Linked DNA regions of Sus scrofa. The protein of the gene in region 2 interacts with the protein of the main gene of each other region in a pairwise test. Links are inferred from orthologs where the notes say so. Each region holds a gene or a part of one and is shown on either strand. Other genes may lie near its edges.

Evidence for each region.
Region 1: the proteins of DVL3 (region 2) and BAHD1 interact in binary tests that used the Homo sapiens proteins (3 or more experiments, as listed by UniProt). The two-hybrid records come from large-scale screens. The link is inferred for Sus scrofa from reciprocal best matches to the Homo sapiens genes DVL3 and BAHD1.
Region 3: the proteins of DVL3 (region 2) and TNFAIP8L1 interact in binary tests that used the Homo sapiens proteins (3 or more experiments, as listed by UniProt). The two-hybrid records come from large-scale screens. The link is inferred for Sus scrofa from reciprocal best matches to the Homo sapiens genes DVL3 and TNFAIP8L1.
Region 4: the proteins of DVL3 (region 2) and WT1 interact in binary tests that used the Homo sapiens proteins (3 or more experiments, as listed by UniProt). The link is inferred for Sus scrofa from reciprocal best matches to the Homo sapiens genes DVL3 and WT1.
Region 5: the proteins of DVL3 (region 2) and KAT7 interact in a two-hybrid assay, tested with the Homo sapiens proteins (2 studies listed by BioGRID and IntAct). The two-hybrid records come from large-scale screens. The link is inferred for Sus scrofa from reciprocal best matches to the Homo sapiens genes DVL3 and KAT7.
Region 6: the proteins of DVL3 (region 2) and CSNK1D interact in binary tests that used the Homo sapiens proteins (3 or more experiments, as listed by UniProt). The two-hybrid records come from large-scale screens. The link is inferred for Sus scrofa from reciprocal best matches to the Homo sapiens genes DVL3 and CSNK1D.
Region 7: the proteins of DVL3 (region 2) and SYT6 interact in binary tests that used the Homo sapiens proteins (3 or more experiments, as listed by UniProt). The two-hybrid records come from large-scale screens. The link is inferred for Sus scrofa from reciprocal best matches to the Homo sapiens genes DVL3 and SYT6.

Annotation. Positions count from the first base shown.
Region 1 is NC_010443.5:130,854,236-130,857,735, forward strand, and holds part of BAHD1 (bromo adjacent homology domain-containing 1 protein), read right to left. Parts: coding exon 2,982-3,500; intron 1,217-2,981; coding exon 834-1,216; intron 1-833.
Region 2 is NC_010455.5:122,085,851-122,088,484, reverse strand, and holds part of DVL3 (segment polarity protein dishevelled homolog DVL-3), read right to left. Parts: intron 2,543-2,634; coding exon 2,411-2,542; intron 2,257-2,410; coding exon 2,089-2,256; intron 1-2,088. UniProt on the Homo sapiens protein: Involved in the signal transduction pathway mediated by multiple Wnt genes.
Region 3 is NC_010444.4:74,216,604-74,220,610, forward strand, and holds the start of TNFAIP8L1 (tumor necrosis factor alpha-induced protein 8-like protein 1), read right to left. Parts: upstream 2,801-4,007; 5' UTR 2,747-2,800; coding exon 2,740-2,746; intron 1-2,739. UniProt on the Homo sapiens protein: Acts as a negative regulator of mTOR activity.
Region 4 is NC_010444.4:28,452,967-28,456,466, reverse strand, and holds the end of WT1 (Wilms tumor protein homolog), read right to left. Parts: intron 1,885-3,500; coding exon 1,763-1,884; 3' UTR 460-1,762; downstream 1-459. UniProt on the Homo sapiens protein: Transcription factor that plays an important role in cellular development and cell survival. Recognizes and binds to the DNA sequence 5'-GCG(T/G)GGGCG-3'. Regulates the expression of numerous target genes, including EPO.
Region 5 is NC_010454.4:25,998,657-26,002,156, forward strand, and holds part of KAT7 (histone acetyltransferase KAT7), read left to right. Parts: intron 1-877; coding exon 878-971; intron 972-2,870; coding exon 2,871-3,017; intron 3,018-3,500. UniProt on the Homo sapiens protein: Catalytic subunit of histone acetyltransferase HBO1 complexes, which specifically mediate acetylation of histone H3 at 'Lys-14' (H3K14ac), thereby regulating various processes, such as gene transcription, protein ubiquitination, immune regulation, stem cell pluripotent and self-renewal maintenance and embryonic development.
Region 6 is NC_010454.4:789,359-792,858, reverse strand, and holds part of CSNK1D (casein kinase I), read right to left. Parts: intron 3,057-3,500; coding exon 2,917-3,056; exon of another isoform or gene 839-2,916; coding exon of another isoform or gene 806-838; exon of another isoform or gene 775-805; intron 1-774. UniProt on the Homo sapiens protein: Essential serine/threonine-protein kinase that regulates diverse cellular growth and survival processes including Wnt signaling, DNA repair and circadian rhythms. It can phosphorylate a large number of proteins.
Region 7 is NC_010446.5:106,471,317-106,474,816, reverse strand, and holds part of SYT6 (synaptotagmin-6), read right to left. Parts: intron 2,633-3,500; coding exon 2,512-2,632; intron 1-2,511.

The DNA.
Region 1 (3,500 bases), on a different chromosome or scaffold from region 2:
CAAAAGCAGTCTGCACTCTGGCTCCTCCTCCCTGAGCCTGGCTTTCAAGGGGAGGATGGGGATGGAGAAAGGATAGAAATAGGAACAGGGGTAAGAAAGTGGACTGAAGCTTTTGGGGCGGCACTCTAACCACCATACTCCCGACAGCTGGTTCTCTCGTTCCAAGCCCCCAGCACTGGGTAGGTCCTCAAGTTTCCTAATGAACAGTCTGGATGAGACTCTGAAACCGCTGTTGGAAGTGGCACTACCTTAGGCAAATGACTTCACCTACTGCTAAGCCTGTTTCCTCATCCGTGACATGAAGGTAGTTACAGGACCATGGGGTATGGACCTCACAGGGCAGTGGTGAGGATGAAAGCAGATAACGCATGCAAAGTGCTTAGCTTAGTTCTGGCACCTAAGAAGTGCTCAGTAAATTTTAGTCGACATTCTTTTCCTCATCCAGATACTCCTGTATCAGTCATTTTCTCTGCTATCCCAATTTCTGCCTATTCCTTTATATATTATCCTGAAAGCCCTCTGCTTTATAATCCAGGACAAAAGGGATGGCATGAACAGGGACAAGAGATGAAGACACTTTAGGAAGCTTCCCTGAGCATCAGTGACAGAGACGGCAGCCACCAGCTGTGACTGACTGTACATTCCCTGACTCCCCAAGGTGCAGGGCGCAGGATCACAAGGGTATGGGGGAGCAGGCTAGCCCAGGGTGAGGGGTTCCTGGGATACAAATGAGCTGGAGCCCCCATCCTCTCTGGAGTCCTCTACCTCCCTGCAGGTCCTATGTCTCTTCCAGCACCCTTCCCTTCTCCCCTTCAGTCAAGAACGGCACTCACCAAGACATAGACGGCCTTCTCACAGGCAGCCCCAACGGGCACCCAGCCGTTAGTGCGGCGACGGCGACGGCGGCGTGGGCGTGGACGCTGGACACGCGGCTGCTTGGGGTGGCTGGGTCTGCGGGCAGCCTTGCTCCGCGCTGTGTGCCTACAGCTGGAGCCCGTGCGCAGACCAGACTTGGAGCCACTAGGAGGCTTGGCGCTCTGGGGACAAGCTCGGGCTATGCTCTGGGGCTCCGAGGTGGGTGTCTGAAGATGGGGGACAGGCTCTGCTGCAGGTGGTACGCTGGGCACAGGGCATCCAAGGAGGGGGTGGGCAGGTGAGGCAGGGTGGCCAGCTTCCGGGAGAGGAAATTCCAGCTGGCCCAGGGACCTGCAGCCTTCTGGAAAAGGAGAGAGGAGATCAGGGCAGGTAAGGATCAGCAGTGACCTTCCCGGGCTCTCGGCTTCAGAGCCTGCTTCCATCTTAATTCTAAGCGTGAACCCAAGAAGCCACTGAGGTGGCAGGTGGGGTCAGAGGCCCTTAAGGTGGATTGTCAGTGACTGGCCAAGGGTTTTTCTTGACCTTGGAAACTGGCCCACAGACATCAACGCCACCCAAAAGAAGGGGAGGTATCGGGAACAGCATCTCTAGCCCTGGCTTAATCTTCCTTCTCCAAGGTTTCCAGTACTTTGGAGCAGAGGATCTGGAGTTAGCCCAGGATGTGAGTCCCAGATCTGCCATTAACCAGCTGTGTGACCTTAGGCAAGTCACTTTACCTCTCAGTGCCTTGCAATAGAATGAATATCATAAAGTGAGTTTCACAGAGTGTGTCCTGGATGTTTCTTTTATCAATATATGATCTCATCCTTACAACAACTCTATGCAGTAGGTACTATTACCTCCATTTTACAATTCAGGAAACTGAGACACAGAGTAGTTACCAGCTTATTCCACAGTCACGTGGCCAAGGAAGTGGGGAGAACATTTCACCCCAGGCAGTCTGGCTCCAGAGTCTGTGCTCAATTACATGCCATATGGCCTCCCATATATATATAAAGCACTAAGAACAGGCGCTTGGCACATGGTGCTTACTGGTGTCCCGGGGCACAGGGATAAGGGTCTTGGGTCCCATGGGTTAGAAGTCTATAGAGTTAGTGAGTGGTAGGAAAGAGGAAGAAAAGCCCAAGAAGAAGCCTACTCTCACTGCTTAGAGCTCCAACTCACACCAGAACCTGAAACAACCAGTCTGGCCAGAGTCAGGTGTCTATAAAGCTGTTTTATAGACCCCTTCAAGAAGAGGCGTGGAGGGGAGGGGAGAGCACTGGGAAGGCCTGGCCCTGCACTTCACCAACAGCAGGGCAGACCTACTGGCCAGGATGGCTCTGGTCCCCTCATTTCCATTCAGGAGCCAAGAAGGGCACCTGGAGAGGTATGAAAGGACACTCCTGCCAGTTTGGGGGAAGAGAGATGAATTAGGGGTGTCTCATCAGCTGCAGCATGACACTGAGGTAGTTGGATCTTGCCAAGAAGGTAGACACCAAAGCCACAGGCCCTGACTGCAGCCTGTCTGTTCTCTGAGGGTGCCCATCCTGTCCGCACCTAGCAAGGTGATGCTAAATCTGGGCGTAACTGCTCTTTTAAGGCCTGTATGGCCAAGGAGAAGCTGTCCTACTGCAGCTGGCACCACCTACCAGGCCTGGTACCTACCACCCCTCTTGTGCATGCTGAACTTGACTGACATGCAGATGACCTGGGCTCCTGGAAAGGAATTCTAATTCTTCTTGAGGAGGGCAGGAGGGACATGGGAACAACTTGGCCAAAGTGCTGCTTTCAACATTGAACTTGCTACTCAGAGTCTAAGAACAGGTATTCCAATGGGGAGGGAGGAGAGACCCTCCCTGACCATTCTACCATCATGCTGCCATGCCAAGAGGCCTCCAAGGACAGTGGTGACAGAGCAGGGCTGCTAGGAGCTAAACATAGACCTCTGTCCTGGGAACTTCCTAGGCTCGGGGCACAAAACTAGGGAAATCTCCCTTCTCAAAACCTCCTACCCTTTCATGCAGTAGGTATACCCCATGGAGTCCCACCCCAACCCAAGACCCACCCTTCTGGGATATCATGTCTCAGACTCCCTAGCACATCCCACCCCCAGGAAGGCGTACCTGCTGCAAAAGGCATTTTGTAGGGGCAGCCACCACAGGCAGTGCCGATGTGGGAAAGAGACGGGGACAACATTTCACAGATGCTGTAGCCATTCACTCCAGCGTCCTCACTGGAGCAGTAGCGAGAACCCCATGGAGGATGCTGGAAAGGGGTGCCAGCAGGCACTGAGCTCGGGGCCAAGAGAAGCCCCTCGTTAGGTGCAGCCACTGGGGACAGCTTGCCTTCAGGGAGCATGGGGCAGGAGGAGTAGCCCCCACACTGCAGCCCGTCTTGGCTGCAGTACAGGTAGAAGTTGCCTAGTGCAATGAGCTCAGGCCGACCATACAGGCCACTGTAGTCAGCGGGGTTACCAGGCATTGGTAGGGGGGACAGCTGAGGTGCAGGGAACGAGGGCTGGTGCAGTTCCTGCTTGGGGGCAGGCGACTCCTCGCCTGGGCGCCCGGGCTCTGGCTTCAGCGCTGCCTGCCCACCCATCAGCAGGGGCAGGTGGGGGCGCAGCCCCAAGGGGTTCTCCAGAG
Region 2 (2,634 bases):
CAGCTAGCGTGAGCAGTGGTGATGATCAGAAGCAGAGGCCTGCCTTGGTCACTACTTCAGCTGTCAAGCTGTCATCCCAAGGGGAGTGACTGTGTGTTCCTGGGGCTACCCAGGTCTCCAGCTCTTCCCTTTGAGTCTGCCATACTCCCAGCTGAGGATACTTCAGCCAGTGAGAACAAAAAGGCCTGTTCTGTCTGCATCTCCCTGAGCATGGCCTCTGGTGGACTTGGTCCATGGGCAGAAGACCCAGAATGCCCCTGGTATGGAACAGTGCCTTCTGAGCAAAAGCCACAGCTGTCCTGAGAAGCTTTATGTACCCCTGAAGGTTTGGGGACAGGGAAGACTTCTACTGGCCATGTCTGATCAAATTTAAGAAGCCAATAATTGCAAGATGCACCGCTATTTCAGAGATATTGAAATGTGAAAAAATGTTCAACTTATAATCAATTAAATACATGGTAAGTGGACAATTTTTTTTTTTTTTTTTTGCTTTTTAGGGCCACACCCACGGCATAAGGAGGTTCCCAGGCTAGGGATCGAATCGGAGCTGTAGCTGCCGGCCTGCGCTACAGCCACAGCAACACCAGATCCAAGCCACATCTGCAACCTACACCACAGCTCACGGCAACGCCAGATCCTTAACCCACTGAGTGAGGCCAGGGATGGAACCCGCAACCCCATGGTTCCTAGTTGGATTCATTAACCAAGTGGACAACTTTTTAAAGAGCACTTATTGTGGGCCAAACATGGTGCTAAAAGCATTACATACATTATCCTATATCATCCTCAAAACAGACCTATGAGATAGGTCTTACTGTTGTCTCCATCTTACAGACCAAGAAATTGATGCACTGAGAGCCTGTGTCACTTACCATGTTCATACGGCGAGGGTGGAGCTAAAATTTGAACTCAGAACTGTCTAATGCCAAAATCCTATGCATCTATCACTACTCCATGGGGCCATGCTGAAGCTGCTGAGGGCCAGGGACCCCATCCTCAGCCAGGGACTTGTGCTCCTCAGAAACAACCTTTCTCGTTTCTAGAACCTAATCTGAAATATTTTAAGAGTTAGCTTCTGGGAGTTCCCTGATGGCCTAGTGGGTTAAGGATCAGGCTTTGTCACTGCTGTGGTATGGGTGTGCTCTCTGGCCTTGGAACTTCTGCATGCTGCAGGCATGGCCAAAACAAAAAACAAAACAAAACAAAAGAGTTAGCTTTTGGATTCCAGCCAGCACCAGTGGGCTGAGAGAAGGTTGCTTCAGGCGGAGATGGTTGCTGGGGCTGGGTTTCAGCTCCCAATCCTGCGCACTGCTGTCCTGTTTTGAGGACTCTCCTTCCCAAGGGCAGTCCATAGGCTCAGGATAAGGGGAGTTCCCTGCAGACCTCTCCCATTTAATAACCCTCATTGGCTTTGCAATCGCTCAAGATCAAGTCCAAACTCCTCGGTACAGTTTGCAGAGTCCCTTACAACCTGGCCCTGACAGCTTTCCCAGCTTTAGCCCAAGGCAGAGCCCACCCTCAGGGGTCTGAGGAGGCTGTGGACTTGGGGCCTCAGGCCAGCTCCAGGTCCTGCCTTGGTGGAACCTTTTGGTGCTGTGAGGATTACCCAAGAAAATGCTTCTGCAGCACCACACACCTAGGACAACCTCAGACCATAGGAAGAATAAAAGCTCTGGAGCCAGAAAGTCAACTCAAGGCCTAGCTCCTTTGCTTCTAGCTGCGAAACCTGGGGTGGGTGGACTACTTAGCTTCTGTAAGTCTCATCAGTTTCCTCATCTTGAAACAGAGATAGTAATCCATGTGGGGAGGTTGTGAGGACTGACTGAGGGAGAGATGATGCTTTAGAAATAGTGAGCGCAGTGTGGGGCACGGAGCAGGCACTGAGAAAATGCCAGCCCCAAGAGGAGGATGCAGGGCAGTTGAAGAGGCTGGACAGGGCTCTGCTTCTACCATAGAACTCTCAGGTTGAGAGGTTCCCCCAGCTCTGCTGCCCCCTCAACTGGGTTCCCTAGAGTCTGCTGCCACATCCCTGGGCAACTCCCCACTCCCAACCAGGAGATAGGGCAAGGAGCGGGGGAGGCAACATACTGCCACAGAGGTCGCCGAAGATGTAGTAGCACTGCTCGGAGAAGGTGATCTTGTTGACAGTGTGGCGGATGAAGCCAGCTTTCAGCAGGTTGCTGGCATACTTGCGGGCCTCTCGCCGGTCAGTAAAGCCTTCCACGTTGTGGTACAGCCAGTCCACCACATCCGAGCCTGGGGGCAAGGCCACCACTTGACTGGGAGGCCCTCTTGACTTGGGCTCATTTGGCCTCACAGAAGCCATGAGGCAGGTGCTGGTTCCAGTGCAAAGGAGCGGCCCAAGGGGGTTCTTGCCCTGCCCACCACTCCCACCATGGGGCCCCCTCACCAATGAAAGCGTTGGGGATGGTAATCTTGAGCCACATGCGGTCACGGACTTCCAGCCCAGATTCAGGGGAGGCCATGGCTTTTACGATGGCAGCCATGTCACTGTGGATGGACAGGTGGAAGTCGTCTAGGCCTGGGGGTGAGACGCAGAACGGTGAGCAGAAAGAGCCTATGGAGTTAGGTACACAGGAGTCTGCATCCCAGATCTACCACCTAATAATATGG
Region 3 (4,007 bases), on a different chromosome or scaffold from region 2:
CTATCTGGCCCATTATAGAAAAAGGCTGGCCAACCTCTGGATTAGATGATCAACAGAGCAATATATCAAGCCCTGATCTGTGGCATTTGCCAATTTCCATGGTGTAAATTCTCCCACCACAGCCAATTTCAAGCTTCCAGCTTGAACATGGAGTTGGGAAGAACTGCTCACCATTTCCATCAAAAAAATAACCTCAAGAGCATCGCAAAAAGCAGTAAAATAAACCAGAAGTTGGGATTTTTGATGATTTATGTCCTAGGCTTTTTTATAATGTGTTGAAGTATGTAAGTCACTTATGATAAAATTCACCCTTCCAAAGTGTACAATTCAGTGGTTTTTATATATTCACAGAGCTGGGTAACCATCACCACTGTTTAATTCTAGAATATTCCATCACCCCCAAAAGAAATCCCATCCACATTAGCAGTCCTTCCCCATCCCTCAACCCCAGCCCCTTGGCAACAGCTAATCTACTTTCTGCCTCTATGGATTTGCCTATTTTTCATATAAAAAGCATCACACACTGTGTGATTGTGTCTGACTTCTCCCACTGAGCATCATGTTTTCAAGATTCATCCATGTTGTAGCAAGTGCTAGTCACTCCTTTTATAGCTGAATGATAGTCCATACCTTTGTTTTAAATATAATGTATTTGTAAATTTAGCCTGTCATTTAAAAAAAATGGATTTTTTTCTTCTACTTGTATTGATAATCTATCATTTGAAATAATGGTGATGTTAACAAAAGCGGATCACAAAATTCCTGACAACATAGCAAGTGGCTCTCGTGAGCCAGGGGGTGAGCTGGCTCTGGCATGTCTCTGGTCCATGGAGCAGCCCAGCCTCCGCATGAATTCTTCATGCCCCAGTGAAGGGTGTCAATAATTGATGGGCCCATTCAGCAAGACCAAGCCGGCCCTCCTCTCCTCTCTCAGCCCACCCCAGGGTGGCCCACTGTGGGAGATGCCCCCACGGCCCTTGTCCCCTGCACTGTACCCTCTGCCAACATCAGGGCACCCGCTGCTTCGGGCTCTTTATCAAACCTCACTCAAGTCTCCCAGTCGGTGCTCAGTTTGATATGGCCAAAGGGGAGGGGGGAGGACCTGCGTGTCTGAGGTGGGGGGTGGATACCAGCAGTCCTCAAACCTGGGTCCCCAGAGCCCTTGGGGGCCATCCCAAGCACGGTCTGGCTGCCTGCCAGGCTGCAGTGGGAGCTGGGATAGTGGGTGTAGGCAAAAATGAATATTTGGAAACCATGGCCCAACCCACTGCAGAGAAAGACAGGCTGGGACTAGGCTGAGCAAAAGATTTTTAACAAAAGGTAGAGGAGGCTTGGGTCACTCAGCAGGAATGTGGATGCAGCCCCTAAATGAGTCTGGGCTTCACCCACTTCTCACCTCTTGCTTAGCCTCCATGCCTGTCACCTGGCTCTTGCCCTCACCCCCTACAGTCTGTCTTCTCTGGAGCAGCCACCAGAGGGTACCAGTGAGCACCTAAGTCAGGCCCTGGACCTCTGCCCACAGCCCTCCAGGCATCCCAACTTCCTCCAGGTAGAAGCCCAAGACCTCCCAGTGGCCCACAGGCCCTGCACTGCCTGCCCCTGGACACTACCAGCCCCCACCTCCTCCCTCTCTCCCCCTTGCTCGCTCTGCTCCAGCCATGTGGCCTCCTGGCTGTTCTTCCAACACACCAGGCATGGTGCTGCCCAGGGCCTTTGCATGAGCTGTCCCCATTGCCTGGATTGCTTTTCCCCCAAAGTCTCCACACGGCTGTTTTTTTCTAGTCTGTGAGCTTCAGTTCAGATGTCACCTCCTTAAAAGGCTCTTCCAGATCCCCCATCTTAACTAAATTCCCTATCCGTCTGTCTCCATTTTTTTCATACAATTACAATTAAGCCTAATGGCTTTTCTGGATGAATGTCTATCTCTCCCAACTCCCGTCTGTGAGCTGAGTTGGGGTGAGGAGAGACACCAGATTAACCTTGGTCATTGCAGGGTCCTGCACCATGCTTGGCACACAGTAGTGCTCAGAACCTGTTTGTTGAATGAATAGATTCCTTCAACCTCCCAGCACCAGAGGGGCACAGAGTCAGAGATCTTCTCCAAGGGTTCCAATGTCCAGCCAGGGAAACTGAGGCCCAGAGAGAGACAGATATCGCAAGATCACATAGCAGCACAGCACAAACAGTTCTGGAAGCCCCCCTCCCCCCAGGTAGACATTCCCCAAACTCCACTACCCCATTGGACAGAAGGGGAAACTGAGGATGGAGCCTCAGAAGATCCCAAGGACTCAGCCAGAGGTGCCGCTGTGAAAGCTCAGGTGGCAGGATTCTAGGGAAAGTGGTCTCATGGAGGGGTGGGTAGGGGAGATTCTGGGGTAAAAGCCCAAGTTCTCTGATACTGGGCCCAGTCCTGCCCGTTTCTACATCCCCACCTCTCAGCCCTTAGTACCTGGGGCTGAACCTGCACCAGCATGAGTCAATTATGCAACATCTGCCTCTGGGGCTGTTTCCATGACAATAGCTCGAGTTTTGTCCTACGTACCCTCTTGTGGCCCAAGTTAACAGTCAGGGGACACTGAGTCCTCCTGAACCTACCACATTGGATCACCAAGCATCCAAAAGGTCCCTCACCTGCCCAGGCCTCACCTGACCTGCCCAAGGCCACACAGTGGGAGAGGAAACTGTGGGGCCTCCAGTCTGTACCTACTTGACTGGTCTCTTTGCTTAGGGACCACCTACCTCCCATCCAAGTGGGGTTTGGGCCCCCAACCTGCCCCTGCAGTGGTCTGGGCACTCACCCACAACCGGCGTCCCAGGCCACCAAGGCTGCCAAGAGAAGCTCAGCCCAGGTGTTTGTATGGCTGGGGTGACAGCTCTTTGTTCTGGTTTCCATAGGTACAGCGTCCCTGGGCCTGCCCTTCCTCGGCCCCTCCCAGATGCCCAGCCCTAGCCTTGCCAGTCCCTTGGCCCGGCCCATGTAGACAACCTGTTGTGTTTTAAAGTTGGCGCCTGTGCACCTGGCATGGCGATAGAGGAAACAGCCCACGCAAAGGCCCTGAGGCAGGACTGTGCCTGGTGTATTGGTGGAATGTGGAGGCTGGTATGGCTGGAGCAGAGTGGGGTGAGGGGGAAAGCTGGAGGAGGTGGGGGCCAGGAGGAGACATGCAGGTCCACATTCCTGCAGTTAATCCTGGAAGCTGCCCTTACCCCTCGGGAGTTATGTCCCTCCGACAGGAAACTGAGGCTGGGAGGTTCGAATCACTTGTTCAAGGTACCATCGTGAAAATGGCAGAGCAGACCCAGGTTTGTCTCATTCCAAAGTCTGAGCTCCCCAACCACTGGGCTAAACTACCCTGGCCCTGGCTGTAGCACCCCAGGGCATTCACCTCTCCCCCCTGCTCAGGAAGTAACAGAGGCCTGTTTACAGGCAGGGCTGCCCTCCTCCAGGCAGGCCCCCCGGAATAGAGGAGGTGGTGATGCATGCAGATCTGGGTCAGGTCAACTGCCAGTTACCTCAGTGATGAAGGTCCCAATTCACAGCTGGCAAAACTAAGGCCATGGCTTCAGGCCATTGGGGAGCTCCAAGGTGGCCAGTTCGGGTGGGTCTGACCCTGGCTCTCAGCTGCCAGGACCAGCCGGAAGTCCCACTCATTGTCACCTCCACGCCTTTGGCCTGGCTGCCCACCACCTGGAATGCCCTCCTAGCTCTGGAATCTAGCCCTAGCACCTGGTGCCCTGCACTGTGAAAGGGGCAGAGTCCATCAGAGTCCTCGTGTTGGGGGGAGGAGGGTGCTGGTCCCAGAGCACCACCCCATGCCGTGGGGGTCAGTTCAGACCCGGTCTGCTACCGCCTAGCCCACACAGCAAGAGAGTGACAGAGACAGCAGGAAAGGGAGAAATGGGGAGGGAAACTGAGGCAGGAATACAGTTAGAAAGGGGGGTGCAGGAGCATGGGGGGGAGAGAAACAGAGAAGACAAGTGGCCCCCGAGATTCTCCCAGATGGGGG
Region 4 (3,500 bases), on a different chromosome or scaffold from region 2:
TCAACCTGCTGAACTAATTTATAGCAACTACAGTTGCGAATTAGGTTGTGCTAGGTGTTCAGCTTATCCCCTTCTGACTGCAGTGCCTATCTGTGAACCTTTCCAAAAAGACCAGTTATTTCTTGTATTTCTCTGGTCTCCTCTGCTGACTTGGAACAGGAAGTGATGCAATGATAGCCAGATATAAATGACCATGGAAACAGAATTCCCCACCCCTGCCCTTATGCAATCACAGCATGAGAGCCATCGCTCTATGATGAGAGGTGAAAGCCGTGCTCTCTGGCTGCTTCTAGGACCAGTAATTGCCTCCTGAGGTTCAACGGAGAGAAACAAATAGTGGTCAGGACCTGGACAGACTTAACTAGTGGTCACTGATGTCACTGTCAGCATCTCACCTGCTTAGCAGAGCTCATCTGTCCTCAAGATTTAAACACAATACAGCTGATAGAATCTTACCACTTTCCTTTTGAATAGACTTTAATTGAGAGCGAAGTGAAAAATGCAGGTTACATTTTTAGTGTTATCATCAATATGTTGGAAGATCAACACCAAAACAGTGATGCATCTAACATTTATACATTTCCTAATTTTAGTTGTCAAGGAGCAAATCATTATCAGATAGATATATTTACACAATCATTTCAAGCAACAGTAAATAATAAACTCCCTCCCTTAAAAAACAAACAGAAAAACCCAAAAAACCACACATATACCCAACCACCTTTAAACAATGGATTTCCTCACACTAGCAAGTCTCATTTTTTTTTTTTCCACATATACTTGTAGACCCAAAGTTACTTAAGTTATTAGGAACAGTCTTATCAGTGGGAGATCCTGGACCAGCCCTTATTTCCTTTTAGAGTCACCTTAATTTTTAACAACTCGAAGCCCCATAACCAGCGTGGTCTGTACATTCTAAGGACACCCCCCAGATGATGAAAATGGATTCCACTTCCTTTGTGTGAGGAGATATGTGCATCTCTGAAGATGCCTATGATTACAACTCCGAAAAGTCAAGAAGAAACCCCCAAACAAAATCTCAGATCTTCAAGCACAGTTTCTTAAGAGCACTGTGCTCCTGTTAACACTGAGTTACACTGAATGGGAAGATTCCTTTAGAGATCTGTGCAGAGGTACTGGTTAGTGCTGATTCTTTTTTTCAGCTGCTTGAAATGCTGGCGTTTTCAAAGCTGCCTGGTGGCGCTACATCCTGCCTTCAGGTTAGCAGCCTGCCTAACCTCCGGAATGTCGGACGGGACTCACCCCCAGTGCCTTGCCCTCTGATTTATTTCTTGCTGTTGCTGTTAGTAAATGGAAACCATGACAAAGTTTACATTAGCAGACACATCCACATGCCCTGGCCTATAAATATTCTATGATGGAAAATGGTACAATGACTCCATTCCTTGTGAAAATGAGCGTAAAGGGAGACGGGGTGGGGGCGGGGGGATGGGGGAGGAACAGTATCAACCACGGCTCTTCTTACAGTGGAGGATCCAGACCACATGGCGACGGGCTTTTAACTAACTGGACACTGAGAGCCACTTCTCCAGGGCTCAGAGGTGGCCAAGCAGAGGGACCAACTCCTCCAGGCAAACCTGGTAGGATCCAGTGGTTCAGGCATCTTGTCTCGGACGCTGGATGAAGGTCGGCCGCCGTTTCCTTCTTTGAGAGGCGAGCCAGGAGGAATGTTAAAGTCAGCTTGCAAAGTCGTTCACACACCGTCCTGCCTGGACACGGAGCGGTGCCCGGGGTGGAGCCCTCAGAGCGCCAGCTGGAGTTTGCTCATGTTTCTCTGGTGCATGTTGTGATGACGGACTAATTCGTCTGACCGGGCAAACTTTTTCTGACAACTGGGCCACCGACAGCTGAAGGGCTTTTCACCTGTTGACACAATGGCCAGTCAGAGACACTTGCGGTGCAGAGATGGGGCACAAGTTATCAAAGGCCAGAGTTAAATCACCACAAGGCACCCACTCCAGATCCCCTCTAGCTCTTTCCTTAAGCTAACGGCTCGGGCTCGTCGCACGGGCAGTGTCTCTGGGGCCTTACGGATTAAAATATCACGAAAATTATAAAATTGCTCTTGAGTCAGACGATTTGGGGAATGGGAGCGCAGGAATGAGCGTAGTTATCTGAAATGTCTGGGCAAGTCATCTTTAATGGGGAGGGGGCAATATTTGGTTCAACGTCTGACACCAGACTGTAAATGTTTCCCCTTTGCTGTTTAAGGAGGGAACTGAGCTTCACTGGAAGGTGAGGGCCTTGGGCCCATCACCTTGGATACTGTTGGTAGATTGCCAGGTGGTGGCAGAGCTGCGACTGCAGCCTTAGTGTCTCTGTATAGGTCTTCTGGACGGGCTCGGCATCTTTAAATAAATCACTGGCATCAGCGCACATGGTATTTGCTTCTTTGCCTTAAAGGCTTACTCAGAGCATAATATCCATTATACAGAAGATTCCAGTTGAGGCATGGCTTTGAAATTTTTAACACGCTTGCCAAAAAATTGAGGCATCTTCATCTAAGGAGGCCTCAGAAGTTCCTTTCAAGCTTCATTTTGGATAAAGACAATTAGCATTTATTAAATGCCTAATAATGCCAAGCCTTGTACTAGGTATCGCACATACATATCTGGCCTTATTATGTATGTGTGTACACATACACGTACACACATCATTTTGTATTCTCCTTACAACAGCCTGTAAGGTGAGCGCTATTATCCCCATTCTACAGATGAGGCTGGACCACGAGTGAGGGCAGACGCAAGAGGACTTGCATCCAGGTCTGTCTGATTCCAAAGTCCACACACTTTGCTGCATCTCACCTCCTCTCAGCATAATGGACACACAGCCATGGCTTTATCCTAAGTAAAAATGTCACAGGAGCCAATGCCTGTGCCAGCAGAGGATCTTCTCGGGATATGGCTTGTCCCACACTTTGCCTTCTCTGAGAACCACCGGATGGGACAAGCACTGAGAAATGGCCCAGGGGAGGCACTGTCCCAGGGTCAGAACCAGGTGGTGGGTGGGGGGCGGGGAGAGCAATCAAATACAGGCCTCAGCAATCTGCCGGTGACATGCGTCACTTTGTACATATACAGAAAAGCACAGGGCGGGAGTGGGGTACAAGGGGAGATAACTCTTTCCCACCAAATTATGAGCTCAGGATTAAGGCAAAGAAGTGACACCAAAGGCACCTGAGCAGAGGAACAAGATGCCCAGCCCACCAGCTCTGGGGCACAGGTGCCTCGACTGTCTGTACATACAGCCTGTTGGGGCTGCACAGGGTTCAGGTCCTTGCATTTCCCTCACCTCCCACTCACTGTTGGTCTGCTCTTCCTCAGCTGGCTCCGGTGCCCCACTCTTCCCCCCAGCCACACTGTCCAAGGTCACCTCCTAAGGGGCAAATCCCCACCCTTCCTCCTGTTGGTCTCCATTCTCCTCAGTCTCTGGATGGACTTAAACTCTGCTGATCTTGGGTCTTTATTGTCTGTCTTCCC
Region 5 (3,500 bases), on a different chromosome or scaffold from region 2:
GGCCAGGCTTTGCTTATGATTTTTATTAAGTGACAACTGTCTTGAAAGAGAATTCACATACCATACAATTCACTCGTTTAATGTGTACAATGCAGTGTTTTTTTGGTGTTTTGTTTTTCTTTTTTTGTCTTTTTGCTATTTCTTTGGCCGCTCCTGCGGCATATAGAGGTTCCCAGGCTAGGGGTCCAATCGGAGCTGTAGCCACTAGCCTACGCCAGAGCCACAGCAACGCGGGATCTGAGCCGCGAACCCACAGCACAGCTCATGGCAACGCCGGATCCTTAACCCACTGAGCAGGGATCGAACCCACAACCTCATGGTTCCTAGTTGGATTCGTTAACCACTGAGCCATGACGGAAACTCCTGCAGTGGTTTTCAGTATAAGAAACCCCCTGCCCATAAGCAGTCACTCCCTGTTTCCACTCAGTCCCCCTCAGCCCTACTGTCTCTGTAAGGTTGCCTTTTCTGAGCATGTCATGTAACTGGAATTGTACAATATGTGATTTAATCATGTTTCGCCCCCCCTTCCAGAATGAGGATTTACTCTTTGGATCCCTCGCTTCTCCAGTAGGCATGTCCCCTTTGGAAAGACCGCTTTTAAAAAGGCTGCTCTAGACTGACTCAGCAGTCTATAAACATCTTGCTTTGCTCTGTGCCTATAAAGAACCCAGAGTCAGCCACCGTAAGATGAGACCGGAGGACTTGGCTAGGGAAACCCTGGGGTCATTGTAAAGGGTGGGGATGTACCAGCCCTTAGCCAGCGGCCATACTGGTTAGCATATACTTTGCAAGCGGCCGTATTTTGTATCTGTGGGACTCCTGACACCTTGGATTCCAAATTCTCATCGCCTGCTCATCTGTTCGCTCTTGATTTTAGGAAAAGAATTCATTCCTCAACTACAATGTATCCTGTATCCTTACCATGCCTCAGTACATGAGACAGGGCTATGGCAAGATGCTCATTGATTTCAGTAAGTGAAACAGCCAGGTCCTAAGTTCCACAAGCAGGGGCCTTGTGAATATGGTTGTTTGCCTGTTTGTCCTGTGCTCTTTACAGTTCCTGCCATGTAGTGGAATTACACTGGTATTAAGTGAATGAGTAAGTAGAGAAATCTGAATGTTGTTCTTAGTTTGGCCTGATAGACATGGAACACTTGAATGAATATGGGACCCTGCGTTGGTCCCTAATGGTGGGAGGAGATAGAGGATAGAAAAGAAATCCCAATTGAGACGTAGGAATAGCACACACCTTCATAAGGCTTCAAATTTGATGTTAGGGATTTCAGTTTTGTTAAGACTTGTCTAGAGGCAGTCCATACACGTGGTAGAGGCTTTGAGTCTCATTAATGATGGATTCTGTATTTGGAAATTTAACTCTCTGAAATTGATTTGTAACCCACAAATCAACACACATGACACCCAGCAGCAAAAAAAAGTTAATTCTCAGATGAGGTCAAAGTGTCATGTTTTGGCTCTCTGTTTAAGCAAGTGTCCTCTTCACAGTCTCTTGGTGCCACGTTCATATTTTTGTGCTTTTTGTGGGCTGATTTTATTTTATTTTTTGGCCCCTCTGCAGCATGTGGAGTTCCTAGGCCAGGGATCAGATGATGCTTGGGATGGCAGTTGCAATCTAGGCGGCAGCTGCAGCAACGCTGGATCCTTAACCCACTGTGCTAGGCCTGGGATCAAACCTGTGTCCCATCGCTCCAGATGCATCATTGATCCTGCTGGGCCGCAGCAAGAACTCTCCTTGTTGCTGATTTTTTTTTTCTTTTTACGGCTGCCCCTGTGGCATATGGAAGTTCCGAGGCTAGGGGTCAAATCAGAGTTGCAGCTGCAGGCCTCTGCCACACCCACAGCAACTCTGGATCCGAGCTGCCTCTTTGACCTGCACCCCAACTCATCGCAATGCCAGATCCTTTAACCCACTGAGTAAGGCCAGGGATGGAACCCACATCCTCATGGATACTAGTTGGGTTCATTACCATTGAGCCATAATGGGAACTACGCTAGTTGGGTTCTTAACCTGCTGAAATACAGCAGGAATTCCTGTTCTTTTTTTTTTTTTTTAAAAAGAGTTCCCTGATGTCCTAGGGGTTAAACATCCAGTATTGTTTCTGCCGTGGCTCTGCTCACTGATACGGCACACATTCAGTCTCTCATTTGGGAACTTTTGCCTGCCACGAGTGTGGCCAAAAAGGCTTGCAGGGTTTTTTCTTTTGTTTGTCCGCTTTCAGATCTGTTTGTTTTTAACTCAAATCCAGATAGAACTGATATTGGGATTGATAGATGTATCTTATGAATCACCTTTAATATAAAAGTTCCTATTCCATCTTTTTTTTTCTCTACTATTTATTTAAGAAAGCAGATTAATTATCTGCTGGTTTCCTAGAGTATGAGTTTTGCTGACTGCATCCCCCAGATGTTGATAATTACATGTTTGGACGTTAAAACTAGAGACTTTGTGAGATTCAGGTTGTGTCTGTCCCCTACCCCCTGCCAGTATTTCATAGGCAGTGCTGAGATAATCCATTCTTCAAGTTCAAAAGTTTGAAAGATTAAAAGCTGTGTAGTGAATCGGCTTCCCATCTCTTCCCACCTGTTCTGAACACTTACTTTCAAATAACTGTTGGTAAGTTTCTAGTGAAGCCTTCCAGAGTTGTTTTTAATGTCTATTAAGTAAGTGTGCATGTGTTCTGTTCCCCTTTTGTTGATATGAAGGCAGCCCGCTCTACAGCAGCCACGTAGGATCGCATTAAATGACTGAACCCTAATTGATATTGCAAAGCAGACTCTACACCTTAAATCTTTTGCCATGTTGGTACGTTGTTAACAGGATGAGATACAGTGTCTGTATTGTTCCGTGGCAGGTTATTTGCTTTCCAAAGTGGAAGAAAAAGTTGGTTCCCCAGAACGTCCGCTTTCAGATCTGGGGCTCATAAGCTATCGCAGTTACTGGAAAGAAGTGCTTCTTCGTTACCTGCATAATTTCCAAGGCAAAGAGATTTCTATCAAAGGTTGGTTTTTTTTTAATTTTTTAATTTTTTTGTCTTTTTGCCTTTTCTAGGGCCGCTCCCGCGGCATATGGAAGTTCCCGGGCTAGGAGTTGAATCAACACTGTAGCCACCGGCCTACACCAGAGCCACAGCAACGTGGGATCCGAGCCACGTCTGCGACCTACACCACAGCTCACAGCAACACCGGATCCTTAACCCACCGAGTGAGGCCAGGGATCAAATCCTCAACCTCATGGTTCCTAGTCAGATTCGTTAACCATTGGGCCACAATGGGAACTCCTCAAAGGCTGGTTTTTGATTCTTCGAGAATGATTGTTACCCAAGATGTTAGCTCCACTGAATATTCTGGCTTTTCTCCTTGGCCCTGTTCATGCTTTGTAACCTGCAAAGGTCATGTCCCATTCTGTGTTCCATCTAGATGTGCGAGTGGAAGGCCGGCCGAATATGGGCTCCTCCCTAAAGGTGCCTAAGGATTCCAGAGCA
Region 6 (3,500 bases), on a different chromosome or scaffold from region 2:
GCGCACCCCCAGCCGCTCCGGAAGGTCCCTCTAAGGCCAGGACACGTGCAGCAGAGAAAGTGACAGAAGACGGGGAGGGAAGGAGAGCCATGCAGGCGAGGAAGCCCGGCGGCGTGGGGCCGAGAGCCGGTCATCAGACCAGGGCCCGAGCGGAGAAGGGACGCTTGCTCCCAGCCGCTTCCTGGAAAGGAGCCTGCTGCTCTGAACACAGGACCCAGGCCCCGGTGGCCCTGGGGCTCCGGTGGGCAAGACCTACGAGCACTCCCCACCGAGACGCCCCCAGAGAGCAGCGCCCAGCAGACAGAGCCAGGAGGAGCCACAAGAGTCGCTGCCGAGAGGAGCAGCGTGGACGCCCAGCCATGCACCGACGGCAGGGAGCAGGCGGCTGTGGCTGATGGGTTAATGCAAACGAGCGCGTGGACGAGGTGCTGGGCAGAGACCGAGCTCGCAAAGAAAAGCAAACGAGGACGACAGAGGTCAACGCTAAGGAAGAGAGATGACAAAGCCGGGACAGCCGAGACCAGGAGTGTCTCCCGCAGCGAGAGCGCAGGGGCCCCCCTCCCCCTGCGGCCCTCTGCCAGCACGACGGGACGCACGTCCACACCAGCCTTCGGGGCCACGGGAGCCACCACCGGGCTCCCGCGCCCCACGCCGGTGCCAAGGGCCAGCGGACAGCTGCCCCGGAATCCGCCTGAGGAGAAGACCTGGGCCAGGGGCCTCGCCCGCTGGCGGCTCCTGGCATGCAAGCCCCCCACCCGGCCTGCGCACACTCACCCAGCGCTGCCTTCCGACGGGAGCCGTGCAGCTACTTGCCGTGGTGTTCGAAAGGAATGCTATTCTGAGGTGGGGGGAAAAGACAGCTGTTGGGGAGGGTTCGCGGCGGGACCAGCACGGAGGCCCCTCCTCCTTCCTCCTGCACCAGCGCTGCCTGCGCGAACCAGGCCCCCGGCCGGGCCTCTCCCCGCGGAGCGGCCTCTCAAGAGTGGTCCCTGGACCTGCCGACACGGAGCCCGCCCCCAGGGCTCAGGCTGTAAGAGGACGGGACCCTCGACGGCGGCCCCTCCATCGGCTCTCACACCCACGGCTCCCCGAGGCCCAGGCGCGCGAGGGCTGGACGCGGGGAAGAAGACCGGGCTCCGGGCCTCGGGGGGGCAGGGGAGGCAGGGATTCGCACAAGTCAGTCCCTGGCACCAGGAGCCGGGATCGTGTCCCTCGACAGCACTGGACGGAGGGGGCACTTCTCAGAGAAACGCCACCGCCAGGCTCGTCCGCCAGCAGCCCTCCGCCGTCTCCGCGGCACTCCAGCCACGACCAGGGACACAGGCCAACGTCCCCCCGCCCCCAGCTGAGATCAGCAGGCCTCCTCCCTAAGGGGCAGAGGCGGCTAGGGAAGTGGCCACCCCAGCCCACTGCGACCCTGCACCCCTGTGTCACCACCCCTGCTCCGCTCGCATCTCTGGGGGAAGAAGCCAGACCGAGCCTGGAACAGCCCTGATCATGGAGGCCCTTGGCGGCCAGGAACGGCGCCTGCCAGCAAGAGTGCCAAGGGATAGAGCCGTCCTGGATGGAGGGGACTGGGGCTGTGCCCTCAACGCAGAGGTCCTAAGGAGACCCCGGGGGGAAGAGGGACAAAGTGGAGGCGCCCCATCCTCAGAGCCACGGCACACGTCTTGGTAGGAAAGCAGAGAGAGAACAGAGAGCAGAGGCAGGCCCTCACGGGGAGACTGGGCAGCAAAGCCCAAGGAGCCGGCGGCAGAGGTGGTCGCAGACCCGAGGCGCTGGCGCCCCTGAACCCCTGGCGCTTCCTGATCCTTCCTTGTGTTAAAGCCAAAGCGAGGCCTGCCCTCCTTCGTCCCAGCCGAGGCGCTCTGGGCCCGTGCCAGGCCACTGAGGCGTGCATTCCAGGGCTCGTGGGAACACACCCGGAGGCCCTTTCTGTGTCCCGAGGGAGGCAGGATGGCTGGGGGCCGGGAGCCGCATGGGGCCGATCTCGAACCCCTGACCAGAGCCTCTGTGCCCCATGATTCCGACCAGCTGCGTCTCCAGCCAGAGAGAAGCTTAATGGGCGAACAGCAGCCCGTTTCCAGTAGAAGTGCCAGCAAGCGACAGGTGCCCTGTTTACTTCACGCAGTTAAGAAAACGTGGTCGGGGCACCTCCTCTGCTGGGCACACCCGCCCTTTGCCTGGCCAGCCGGCGCTGCAGAACCAGGCTCTGGGCACTTCGCACAGGCCCTGTGCCTCCAGATCAACACGCTCAACCCGCCAAATTCACCGACAAGCTACCCCCAGCAGACAGCATGGGGTGACCCCGGCCCCACGGGACACTGGCTGAAGCAGAGAAGAGGCCCACCTGGACCATTCTTCACCCTGCCCGCCTCCTGCCACCCACGCGCAGAAGACCTGCCAGCACGCAGGCGAGGAGTGGCGCTGCTGGGCAGGGACAGCGAGCAGAGCGAGTGGGCACAGGGCGTGGCTAGAGAAGACATGGCGCCGGGCGCCTAGGACGCCCTACAGTGACTGCCGGCGGGCGACAAGGGCTCTCCGCGGGGGTGGAGCGCCCGGCTGACAAGAGCGAGGACAGAGGCTCGAAGGCTGGGCCAGGCGCGCTGCAACACCAGGCGCCCACAGGCTGGGGGCGTCCGCCCAGGGAAGACGGCGCAAGAGAAGAGGCGCCAGCGGGCGTCCCAGCACAGCCAGGGCGCAGCCTGGCCCCAGAGCTCGTCCCTGGGGCCCTCAACCGAGGGCCCCACGGTAGCGAGGGACACGAGGTCCCCGGCAGTTCAGACGCTCCGAAGAGGGAGAGCGAGAAGGATGGAAAGCAGGAAGCCTCCGAGGCCGTCGCCCACTGCGGGGGCCGCAGGACCGGCGCGCAACGCGGCTGCGGAGCGCAGGGCCCGGTGGCGGCCGGGCGCGTACCTGTGAGGTGGACATGCGGGAGGTATCTTGCCGGCCCGTGAGGTCGGACGAGGAGATGTTGACGGGGGCCCCGCGGTGCAGCCGCATACTCACTTTCCGCTCTCTTTCCATGCCGGACACGGGCCGAGGAGAGGTGTTCGCTGGAGGAGAGGGAGACAGGGCAGCGTGAGGCCTCAGGACGCGGCCCCACACTCCGCGAGGGCCTCTCCTCGGGAGCCGTGTCTCACGAGGACCCGCGGCCACGGCTGCGCCGGCGTCGGGCTGGGAGCGCTGTTGCACCCGGACTCTGGGCCGGCCCTGCGTCGGGGCCCTGGCAGCACCCAGCTGACTCCTGGGAGCCAGGCGTCCAGCGGGAGGGCGGCCGAGGCGACGGGCGAGGAAGAGAACGGAGGGGTAGGTGGTGGGGAGGACTCAAGTCTCGAGACGAGCGAGACGACAACGCGGAGCTCCCGGGGGGGGACGCAGCCCTTCAGGAGGCCAGCACCCGCCAACAGACACTACCAGCCGCCCGGGCACCTCGGGATAACAACCGACGGGGACGGGGACCTACAAGGTCACACGCTGGCGCGGCCGGAGCAACCGAC
Region 7 (3,500 bases), on a different chromosome or scaffold from region 2:
CACTGTGCTGGGCTGGGGGTCGACTCTGTGTGCTTGCGATACAGAGACGCTGCCAGTCTCCTCGTGTGACAGCAGAAACTCCACACATACCATGTCATTTAAACATCACATCAACTCTATATTTATCATCATCTCTCTTTTATAGATAGGGGAATGGAAGTTTGAGAGATTAAGAAACCTGCCTAAGATTTGAAGTTAGGCCTGACTCCAAAGTTTACATTTGTAATCCCTGGACAGAGAGCAGTATAGACCAGGGGTGGCAGAGATGGGCAGGCTTACCGACTTACCACCCCTTTGGGGCGTACTCATCCTTATTATTATTTTGTATTATTTTTATTGCCATAGTTTTAGTGGATAGGCTTAGAGAATTGATTCATGACTGGACTGGATCAAGGAGAATAGGAAGATGCTGGGTTTTAGAGGTCAGTGTCATATACATCAAGAACAGGCAATTAATGAGCTCCATGCGCTCCTTCGTTTAGTCTAACATCAAAGCGGTCTGAGCTGAAGGCAACCTCAGCCTTATCCTCTGAAACAGGAGATCTGGTGTGAGAGGCCCCTGGCATGTGCGTCCCCACAGCATCACCCTCTGACAAGGTTCCTTACGCTGTAAGTTTGTTCGTTCATTCATTCATCATTTATTCATCATTCAGTACATATTTATCCAGTGCTTATTATGTTCCATGCACTGTTTCATACGTTTGCTTCTATCAGTGAACAAAATAGATAGACAGCCCTGACAAAAACAGGACCCCGGGATTTTCAGAATGCAGCCGAGATTGAATACCAGATTCCAAAGTCAGGTAGAAAAGAGGGGCGATCTTGAGAGGGAGGTTAGAACTTCGCAGGAGAAAAATCTCTTGCCCCCCAACCCTCTGACGTGGAACAGCCTTTAAGATTACCTTGGTGGCTTTGCCGTAAGCTTTCTCTCTAGCCCATCAATTTAATTACACCAGAGAAGATAGTGTGGGGACTGGGGCAGCAAAATCCTATTTCCTTCAGCAGTCTTGAGAGTCCTCAGTGAATTTCCATCCCTGCACATACTTATTTTGATATTAAAATGAAATCTACATTGGCTGTATATTTAGAGGAGGCCCTGCTTCCTGCTGCCTCAGAGGTTTGCACAGTGTCAGGAGAGGTGGTTTGAGCTCCTCGCCACGACCTGGTGTGTGGTGGCAGCTTCAGTGGAAGGAGACGTGCCAGGGCAGGCACTGTCTGGGGCAGCTTTTGGCCTGAAAGACCTGAGTGTTGCAGAGACGCGGTGGGGGCTGGGAGCAGAGGCTCTGAGGGACTCAGAGCCGCAGCAAACACACCTTCCTTCAGCGTTTCTTGACTACCCTTCCCCGAAACCTCATTTTTCAAGGCCTCATGTCTCATCTCCTTCCAGCTGCGCCAGGTTGGGCCTGGGCCCAGATGTTTTCCAGCTGGACCGTCCCCGCTTCCTGGCCACTCTGATTATACTAAGGAGTTTTCCAGGAAATAATGAATGATTCAAAGGAAAAATCTTCCATATACTCTCCGCCAAGTTCAGAGGCACCTCTGGAGTGGATTTACATTGGTGATTGGAATCTTCAAAAGAGCCCCTTGGGTAGGGGTCAAAGAAAATAAACCCAGCCTTTCCCTGCATTTGCTGCTCTGAGTGCAGCCCGGCGTACGTGCCTGCTCTTTGAGGCACTCCAGCCCATTTCACTTCCTGGGCTAATGTGAGCTGACACAGGGATGGAGGCGCCAGGGACTCCTCTGTTACATCAGAACTCAGAAACCTTCTCTGACAACGACCTGCAGCATCGTGCAAAAGGATTAAGCCTGTGACACCACATCCAGCCTGCAGGCTCCGAGCTGCATTTAAACAAGCACCTCCTCGGTTGCTAGAACAGGACTTGCTTACTCCTGCTGTACCCAGCAGCTCTCCTGGTGCTGACACGGAGGCCCAGGGCCCTGCAGGAAAACCTCAAATACAAATGCGCTTTGCTTGTCATTGGCTCTGTTCCTTTGACTCAGTCTGCAGGGCTGCCGCAGGGCTGCGTGGACCTACAGACACTTGGACACTCAAACTTGACATAACCCTTGGCAGTCCCGAGACCTCACACAAACTAGAAAGATTTTTCCTTATTTTTTTCTATTTATTTACTTCTTCTCTCCATCATCAAAGAGAAAGAATGATAGTAATAGCTGATACCTACTGAGTGCTCATTATGTGTCTGACACATTTCTAAGCATTTACATGTTTATCCTTAAAGCAACCTGCATAAATTTTTTTCTTTTTTTTTTTTTTTTTCTTTTTCGTGGTTCTTTTTCATTTTTTTTTTTCTTTTTTTTTGGTCAGGAAACCAAAGCATCCCACAGCAAAGTGGCAGAACTGGCCTTCACAGCCAGGCCGTTTGCCTCCAGGGCTGTGCTCCTATCTAAGAGTACTGACGATTCTTCCCCCTTCTCTCTCAGCATCTCTCCAAATCTAAACATCTGGGTTGCCGAGAGGCCACGGGGCAGGCCCTCGGGGAGGAAAGGTACCTGAGTAGCCCGTGATGTCCATCGCCTTGAGGTTCCGACACTTGATCACCGTGAGGGTGAGCCTGCCTGCTGTGGGCAGGTAGCAGAGGGAGAACATGATCTCCCCCAGATCCACACTTTCCTGCAAAGAAGCAGACAAGAGAGCAGGTGAGGGGCACGCAGCACCCGTGGGGGCCCAGGGGAAGGCTCTCCGAGGCAGAGCACCGTGTCTTTAAGACCCGAGGGTCTGGCCTCCATGCTGGGAGTCCCAGGGTCTGTAAGGCAATGATAGCAATATTGGTTCTTCAGTAGAATTCGGCCCCTTCAATATGCCTTCTCAGCTCTGATCAGACTCGGGTCCAGGTCCTCCCCCTCTTGCTTTGGCCTCACCTGCCCTACCTCTGCCCCGTGGCTGCAGCCTCCAGATCACCAGGCCTTCTGGGGCTCACCACATTCTCCAGCTCACCCTTCTCGGTCACTGGTCCCTTTGAGTCCCTGCACTGCCTGGCTTGGTCAGTGTCCCTTACAAGATGCACTCCAGCCATCAGGATCCCCTCTCCCTGCAGATCTGCTGCTAGCCCTCAGCTCAGTCATTCTTTGTGAGTCCCTCTGCCTTGGCAGTTTTCTTGCCTCTCCCGAAACTCACTTGGTACTTGGGACTGGCCCAGGACCTGCTGCTGACCAAGGAGACGTCCACTCGCCATTCCATGTTTGGGCCAGGCCTTGGATCCACTTTGTCCTTAAATGTGGTCATCCTTCAAAAATGAACCCAGCTCGGAGCACACACTCTGCTGCCTCTCCTGCCCCCAGAAGCACCATGACCGGGGATCCCAGTACCAGCAAGCTTCTGAGCAGCAGGAACTAGGAAACTTCAGAGATGGGAAGCACGTCTGGCTGTTGAATTAAACAGCACCCTGCTGGAATGCCTCGGCGTCCTGCTCCCCACCTGATAGAGGAGGGTGCTGTCCCTGCCAACCCCCTGCCTCAGGCTCTGAGGCTGACATGGGGCT